2 linked regions of the Macaca mulatta genome follow. The protein of the gene in region 1 interacts with the protein of each later gene in a biochemical or structural test. Links are inferred from orthologs where the notes say so. Each region holds a gene or a part of one and is shown in the gene's direction. Other genes may lie near its edges. The genes, in order: CEBPA and TRIB1.

The links.
Region 2: the proteins of CEBPA (region 1) and TRIB1 form a complex in vitro, tested with the Homo sapiens proteins (2 studies listed by BioGRID and IntAct, with this or other methods). The link is inferred for Macaca mulatta from reciprocal best matches to the Homo sapiens genes CEBPA and TRIB1.

Annotation. Positions count from the first base shown.
Region 1 is NC_133424.1:44,601,747-44,605,645, reverse strand, and holds CEBPA (CCAAT/enhancer-binding protein alpha), read left to right. Parts: upstream 1-1,060; 5' UTR 1,061-1,180; coding exon 1,181-2,254; 3' UTR 2,255-3,655; downstream 3,656-3,899. UniProt on the Homo sapiens protein: Transcription factor that coordinates proliferation arrest and the differentiation of myeloid progenitors, adipocytes, hepatocytes, and cells of the lung and the placenta.
Region 2 is NC_133413.1:135,863,658-135,867,556, forward strand, and holds the start of TRIB1 (tribbles homolog 1), read left to right. Parts: upstream 1-1,187; 5' UTR 1,188-1,769; coding exon 1,770-2,129; intron 2,130-3,381; exon of another isoform or gene 3,382-3,899. UniProt on the Homo sapiens protein: Adapter protein involved in protein degradation by interacting with COP1 ubiquitin ligase. The COP1-binding motif is masked by autoinhibitory interactions with the protein kinase domain.

The DNA of each region.
Region 1 (3,899 bases):
TTCCTGTGGGTGCTCGGACCTGGCGGCCCCGGCGGCCTGGACACCCTCGCTCCGGCCGTTGGCGCCCACCTGAATGGGGGGTGGGGGGAGGAAGCGGTGGCTTCGGGCCTCGCGGACTGCGGCCCCCGCCTCGGGATCCCGGCCCCAGAGTCAAGTTTGTCTCCTCCCTCGGTGCGCCCCTCCCCATGGTCGCCCCGGCGTCCAGCTCGGCTATTCCCGGAGCCCGCCGGTCCCTCAGGAAAAAAAATCGGCGACTCCACGCTGGGTAACAACGCCTGTCCCGCGCGCCTAGCAAGTCGCGCGCTCCGGCCTGGAGAAGTAATTATAAAGAAAGTTTTCCAGCCCGGGCGGATCCACCGGCCAGGTCCTTCAGGCTCCCGGGCCGAGGCCGCCTCCGCTCCCCGCGGGGTCCTAGCGCCCCGCGCGGCGCCGCCCGTGGGATTCCACCGTCCTCCGAGAGGTGCCTCTGCGCGGAATCACAGGGGTAGCCTGGAGATCAGAGCTAGGAGACGCAGAGCCACCGCGCTCCGGGTCTCTCCGCGAGTCCCAAACGGCCCCCCACCGGCCCCTGCCCGCCCCGCCGCTCTGCGCCGCAGCCTCCCCGGGACGCGGGTCCCGGACAGGCCTGGTTCTGGCTTTGAAAGAGAGTCCGAGCCACAGCAGCTCAAGACCAAGACTCCCCTCCGCCACCCACCCCTACCCCATGCAGCCTCGGGATACTCCTGGGCTCCCAGCCGTGGCAGAATGTGGGTGCCTAGGGGAGGCGGGAGGAGGGGGCCCCCGCCACCAACCACGAGGGCGCAGGGGCGACAGCTGGGCCGGGGGCGGAGCTTGGAGCGAGCGCCGCGGCTCTGCTGGTCGCGCAGGAGGCGGTGGGCGTTGCGCCGCGGCCTGCCTGAGGAGCGCAGCGCTGGGCCCCGCTTGTTCGCCGCTCCATCCCGGCCGCGCGCTAGGACCCAGCGGGCGCCGCGCCGCCGCCGCCCGGGGACAGAGGCCGCCTCGGACTCTAGGGGGCGACGCGGCCGCGGGGTATAAAAGCTGGGCCGGCGCGGGCCGGGCCATTCGCGACCCGGAGCTGCGCGGGCGCGGGCGAGTCGGGTCTCCGGGTGGGCGGCGGCGACGCCCCGCGCAGGCTGGAGGCCGCCGAGGCTCGCCATGCCGGGAGAACTCTAGCTCCCCCATGGAGTCGGCCGACTTCTACGAGGCGGAGCCGCGGCCCCCGATGAGCAGCCACCTGCAGAGTCCCCCGCACGCGCCCAGCAGCGCCGCCTTCGGCTTTCCCCGCGGCGCGGGCCCCGCGCAGCCTCCCGCCCCACCTGCCGCCCCGGAGCCGCTGGGCGGCATCTGCGAGCACGAGACGTCCATCGACATCAGCGCCTACATCGACCCGGCCGCCTTCAACGACGAGTTCCTGGCCGACCTGTTCCAGCACAGCCGGCAGCAGGAGAAGGCCAAGGCGGCCGCGGGCCCCGCGGGCGGCGGCGGCGGCGGCGGCGACTTTGACTACCCGGGCGCGCCCGCGGGCCCCGGGGGCGCCGTCATGCCCGGGGGAGCGCACGGGCCCCCGCCCGGCTACGGCTGCGCGGCCGCCGGCTACCTGGACGGCAGGCTGGAGCCCCTGTACGAGCGCGTCGGGGCGCCGGCGCTGCGGCCGCTGGTGATCAAGCAGGAGCCCCGCGAGGAGGATGAAGCCAAGCAGCTGGCGCTGGCCGGCCTCTTCCCTTACCAGCCGCCGCCGCCGCCGCCGCCCTCACACCCGCACCCGCCGCCAGCGCACCTGGCCGCCCCGCACCTGCAGTTCCAGATAGCGCACTGCGGCCAGACCACCATGCACCTGCAGCCCGGTCACCCTACGCCGCCACCCACGCCCGTGCCCAGCCCGCACCCCGCGCCCGCGCTCGGCGCCGCCGGCCTGCCGGGCCCCGGCGGCGCGCTCAAGGGGCTGGGCGCCGCGCACCCCGACCTCCGCGCGAGTGGCGGCGGCGGCACGGGCAAGGCCAAGAAGTCGGTGGACAAGAACAGCAACGAGTACCGGGTGCGGCGCGAGCGCAACAACATCGCGGTGCGCAAGAGCCGCGACAAGGCCAAGCAGCGCAACGTGGAGACGCAGCAGAAGGTGCTGGAGCTGACCAGTGACAATGACCGCCTGCGCAAGCGGGTGGAACAGCTGAGCCGCGAACTGGACACGCTGCGGGGCATCTTCCGCCAGCTGCCAGAGAGCTCCTTGGTCAAGGCCATGGGCAACTGCGCGTGAGGCGCGCGGCTGAGGGACCGCCCTGGGCCAGCCTCCGGCGGGGACCCAGGGGTGGTTTGGGGTCGCCGGATCTCGAGGCTTGCCCGAGCCATGCGAGCCAGGACTAGGAGATTCCGGTGCCTCCCGAAAGCCTGGCCTGCTCCGCGTGTCCCCTCCCTTCTTCTGCGCCGGACTTGGTGCGTCTGAGATGAGGGGGCCAGGCGGTGACTTCTCCCTGCAAGGAGGGGAGAATTCTTGGGGCTGAGCTGGGAGCCCGGCAACTTTAGTATTAAGGATAACCTTGTGCCTTGGAAATGCAAACTCACCGCTCCGATGCCTACCGAGTAGGGGGAGCAAATCGTGCCTTGTCATTTTATTTGGAGGTTTCCTGCCTCCTTCCCGAGGCTGCAGCAGGCCCCCATGAGAGGAGGAGGGGAGCAGGCCCGTGGCAGGAGGAGGGCTCAGGGAGCTGAGATCCCGACAAGCCAACCGGCCCCAGCCGCTCCTCCGCGCCTGTCCTTAGAAATGGGGGGAAACATAGGGACTTGGGGCTTGAAACCTAAGGTTGTTCCCCTAGTTCTACATGAAGGTGGAGGGTCTAGTTCCACGCCTCTCCCACCTCCCTCCGCACACACCCCACCCCAGCCTGCTATAGGCTGGGCTTTCCCTTGGGGCGGAACTCACTGAGATGGGAGTCACCAGGTGACCAGTGGGAGCCCCCACCACGAGTTAGACCAGAAAGCTAGGTCGTGAGTCAGCTCTGAGGATGTATACCCCTGGTGGGAGATGGAGACCTAGAGATCTGGCCGTGGGCGGGCTTGGGGGGTGAAGGGCCACTGGGACCCTCAGCCTTGTTTGTACTGTATGCCTTCAGCATTGCCTAGGAACACGAAGCACGATCAGTCCATCCCAGAGGGACCGGAGTTATGACAAGCTTTCCAAATATTTTGCTTTATCAGCCGATATCAACACTTGTATCTGGCCTCTGTGCCCCAGCAGTGCCTTGTGCAATGTGAATGTGCGCGTCTCTGCTAAACCACCATTTTATTTGGTTTTTGTTTTGTTTTGGTTTTGCTCGGATACTTGCCAAAATGAGACTCTCCATCGGCAGCTGGGGGAAGGGTCTGAGACTCTCTTTCCTTTTGGTTTTGGGATTACTTTTGATCCTGGGGGACCAATGAGGTGAGGGGAGTTCTCCTTTGCCCTCAGCTTTCCCCGGCCCCTCCGGCCTGGGCTGCCCACAAGGCTTGTCCCCCAGAGGCCCTGGCTCCTGGTCGGGAAGGGAGGTGGCCTCTCGCCAACACATCACTGGGGCTGGGAGCAGGGAAAGACGGCTTGGTTCTCTTCTTTTGGGGAGAACGTAGAGTCTCACCGTAGATGTTTTATGTATTATATCTATAATATAAACATATCGAAAGTCAATGTCCGTGTCTTTTTAAAACCAGAAAGAAGCTACTTCCAAGGTTGTCTGTGGGCCAGGCCACATTTGTAAATAATACAGCATTTTCCCTGGCGGCAATCCTGACTTTCATGAGCTCTCCATCCACCCCCAGCCCCTCTTTACCCTAAGGGGGTGACTTACTTCCCCCAGGCAACACAAATAAATAGCAGAGGACAAGGCTCCAAACGGAGAGTGTCCAGAGCCTGAAGGCAGTCTTGGGGTCAG
Region 2 (3,899 bases), on another chromosome or scaffold:
CGCGGGCTGCCCGGGTGCAGGAGGTATCTCTGGCAGTGGCCAGAATGACTTCCACCAGCCTACCCACCTACCCGGGTTGGCACTCAGGCCCTAGACTCTGCGGCGCGTGTGGAGGCTGGGGAGGGAGCAGGAATCTGGCGGCAGCCACGTGGGCCCCTTCCGCCCGCTCCCCACATCCTTTGTTTCCCACCGGCCCTGGCTCAGGAAGCTCTTTCTGCGAGTCACCGCGAAGGGGCGGCCCGGGAGCCTGGAGAAGCTATTTCCGTGCAATCCGGGCGGGCGGCAGGCGCGGGGGGGTTAGGGGGGCGTGGAGGTGGAGGCAGCGCAGAAGGCCCAGTGTTTGCTTTTCTTTCATCCAACAGAAGGTTCTATTTGTGGAAGCGAACAGACGCTGGGGATTGGAGCTGGGAGGGGGCAGGAAAAGAGAGAGAAAAAAAAAGCCACATCCACTACCACGCACAGGTCTTCCCCGGAACTACCGCGTGGGGGTGAATGACTGATTCTGGAATTCATCACCTCCCCATCCCCCTCCTTCCTCCGGCTGCAGCCGGGCCTCGGCGGCGCCCACGGCTCCAACTGGAGCTCCCCAGGCGCTGGGCGGTGGGGGTATCCCCGGGGCGAAAGGCGTCGCCGCGGGGCTGCAGCGGGCGGCGGGTGCACAGAACCGTGGTGCGCGCTCCCGCCTCACGCCCGCAGCCCATTGTGCTTGCTGTGAATGAGGCGCGCGCACCAATCAGCGGTCGCTTCGCTCCCCGCGGCCCCGCCCCTCCCGCCCACTTCCCCGGACCCTTACGTCACGGGAACTTTTCCTCCGCCCCCTCCTTCGGCTTCTCGGCCGAGCTGGCGGCCTGCCGGAGGGCGCGCGCCACCTCCTGCCCAGCCCAGCCCGGGGGGCGTGTGCGCGCGCCCAGGCCGGCCCGGGACGCACCACCTGTGCCCGACCGCGCGCTGCCCCAAGCATCCCCAGCCCTCGGGCCACCCCCATTCCCCCCACCTCCTGTTCTCCCTCCCCTCCCCCAAGTCTCCTCCCTCCGCTCCTGAGACTGCTCGCCGGGCGGCGAGGCCGGAGTCGTCGCAGCCACCTCATTGCACAACCCGGCTTCCCAACTGTTTACACAGCCCGGCCTGTGAGTGTGTGTGTATACAGCGTGAGTCACCGGGAGGCGGAGGAGGTGGAGGAAAAGGAGAAGGAGGAGTGCACTGGCCGGGATCGGTGCGGCGCTCACACTCACTCACAGTCACTCTCTCTGAGCGCGTCTCGCTCGCTCTCCTACACGCCCGGAGCCCAGGAGCGCGCAGGATCCCGAGCGCCGCGAAAAAGTTCCCCCGGCTTTAGCTCGAGACTCATCGCTTTGGGAAGTGCATTTGCTTCGTGGCTCCGCCGAGCCTACTGAATCCTGTCCTCGCGGCTCGGGAAGCCGGGATCGCTGGCCGCTGCCGCCGCCGCCTCTGCCTCCCGGACTGTCGGCAGCCTAGGCAACAATAGTGGCGGCCGCCCCCAGCGAGGCTCCGGGAGCCCTTGCCTGCGGGGATCCGGGGACCCAAGCCGGCCTCCGCTCCCCGGACGCACAGCCAGCGTGGTCCCCGCGTGCAACGCGAGCGCCGGGGAGCGGCTCCTGCTTTGCCCCTAGTGGGGGCCGAGCCAAGAGCAGTCTGCAAACTCCATCCCGCCGGCTGGAAGAAGTCGCGGAGCCGGCGCCAAGCCCGCAGCGTCTTCCCGCGCGGATCCCGGGACTTAAAAAGCCGGGGCCGCCCCGGCCCAGGACGGGATGCGGGTCGGTCCCGTGCGCTCTGCCATGAGCGGCGCCTCGCAACCCCGCGGCCCGGCCCTGCTGTTCCCAGCCGCCCGAGGCGTCCCGGCCAAACGCCTGCTGGACGCCGACGACGCGGCGGCCGTGGCGGCCAAGTGCCCGCGCCTCTCCGAGTGCTCCAGCCCCCCGGACTACCTCAGCCCCCCCGGCTCGCCCTGCAGCCCGCAGCCCCCACCTGCCGCTCCGGGGACCGGCGGCGGCTCCGGGAGCGCGCCGGGGCCCAGCCGCATCGCCGACTACCTGCTGCTGCCCCTAGCCGAGCGCGAGCATGTGTCCCGGGCGCTGTGCATCCACACTGGCCGCGAGCTGCGCTGCAAGGTAGGCGCTCCCGGGCCAGGACCCGGCTGGGGTCGGGGGCGCAGGACGGGGTAGTAGGCAAAGGTGCTTGGGGTGCGGCCAACGCTTGGGCTGGGCACAGGGCAGATCAGTAGATGGGGTCAGATAAGACGCCATCTGACCAGGTTCACCTTTTTGTGGATTGAGGGGTTTCCCATGGAGTGGTATAATGGGGGCGCCTAGAGGAAGTGTAGTGTTCAGTGGCCTTCTCTTTCTGTTCCTTTCCTTAGCGCCCAGTGTAGCGCGTGGCGTTCCATATAAGTTGTGGAATTGAAATGGATTCCAGGGCCATGCCATTCCCCTTCTCTCATTCTCCTCGCTCTCCACCCCCCGCCCCCCCAACCCCATGTCCTGGAAGGACGCCCTGCAGTGGGTGCCTCCTAGGAGATTGAAGCAGCTGGCATCTCTCTTGCCGGGTTTGCACGGCACCCGGGCTCAGTTGTAGGTGGTAAGAGCGCTGGAAGACTGTGTCCGGCTCCTGCCTTGGGGATTCCGAATTGAATTCGCGCTGGGACTAGAACACGTCCTCCCTAGGGAGCAGTCCCAGAGTCTTCCACCCGAGGCGGAGGAATCTGCTCGGAGTAGAAATGTTGAAAAGCCCACACCGGGCAGGAACCCTCGCTTCGATTCACTTTATTTTCCAGCCAGCGATTTTCCTTTGAACGTAGGGATCCCATCCAGGAGGAGGAGACACAGCTCCTAGAAACAGGATCCGCCGGGTCCTCCTCCTGCGCGGGTAGACGCAGAACATTCCCACAGTCTACTTTATGCGAGCATGACACCCCTGCTTGAGGCACCCCAGAGCACCCTCGGGCTGCTCCTTTTCACCCGAAAGATAGGATCAGCCCCCAGTTAAGTCGCTTCTGGGTTTTCCGCAACTCACCTGACACTCCCAACACCCCGACCCCGTCCCGGGGCTCGCTGCTGCCACCTACTGCCCAACCCGAATGAAATTTCAAACGCATGATCAAGCCCAGTTTAATAGGGGGAGATAAAACCCTTTTCTTCTCCGTGGCTGGGGCTCAGAGCTGTTCTGGGACAAGCATATGTGTGTGGTGGGATGGGGTGGGTGGGAGGAGGGGGCAGCAGGGGATTTTTCTAGCTGGTGCCAGAGCAGCCAGGCCTCTTAGAGGTGGGGTGAGTCTGGCCATTGTGCAACCCCTTCCAGTTCCTCTGAGCAGATAATAGCTGAATCCAGATGGTGACAGCCCGTGTGTCACCGTTTCCAGTTGAGTCTAGGATATGAGTAACTGGACTAAACAAAAGGCCTCTAAAGAGATCAGCCAGCTTCCTAGAAGAGAGGAGATGCTACTCATTTTTAGGGGTGGGGTCGGGTGTGGGGGGTAAACAAACAAATGAAAAACCGATTCGCAGGATCCCCTACCCCTCCTGTGAGAATTGTAACTCAAGGCGGCTTACTTACACTTGAGTCGGACTGTAGGCAGGTTGCTTAAAGCTGCATTGTCCCAGCCTCCCCCTCCAAGTCATCTGTTCCTTCTGATTAATGACAGCTCTGCATGTTCTCTGGCCCCTGCTTCCCCTTGGAGGCTGCAGAGTCACCACATTCTGTGCCCTTTCTGTGCTGAGCACTTTGGGTCTGCAGGAGACACATGCATGTCCAGGGACTGCTTTTCAGCTCCTGGACAGGCCAGGGGCTTCCTTCTATCAACCACTCACTAGTGTGGCCTGCAAACAGGAAAGGGCCACAGATGTTGGGGGGTTTGCTTAGCTCTCAGGAGCTGATGGAAGATG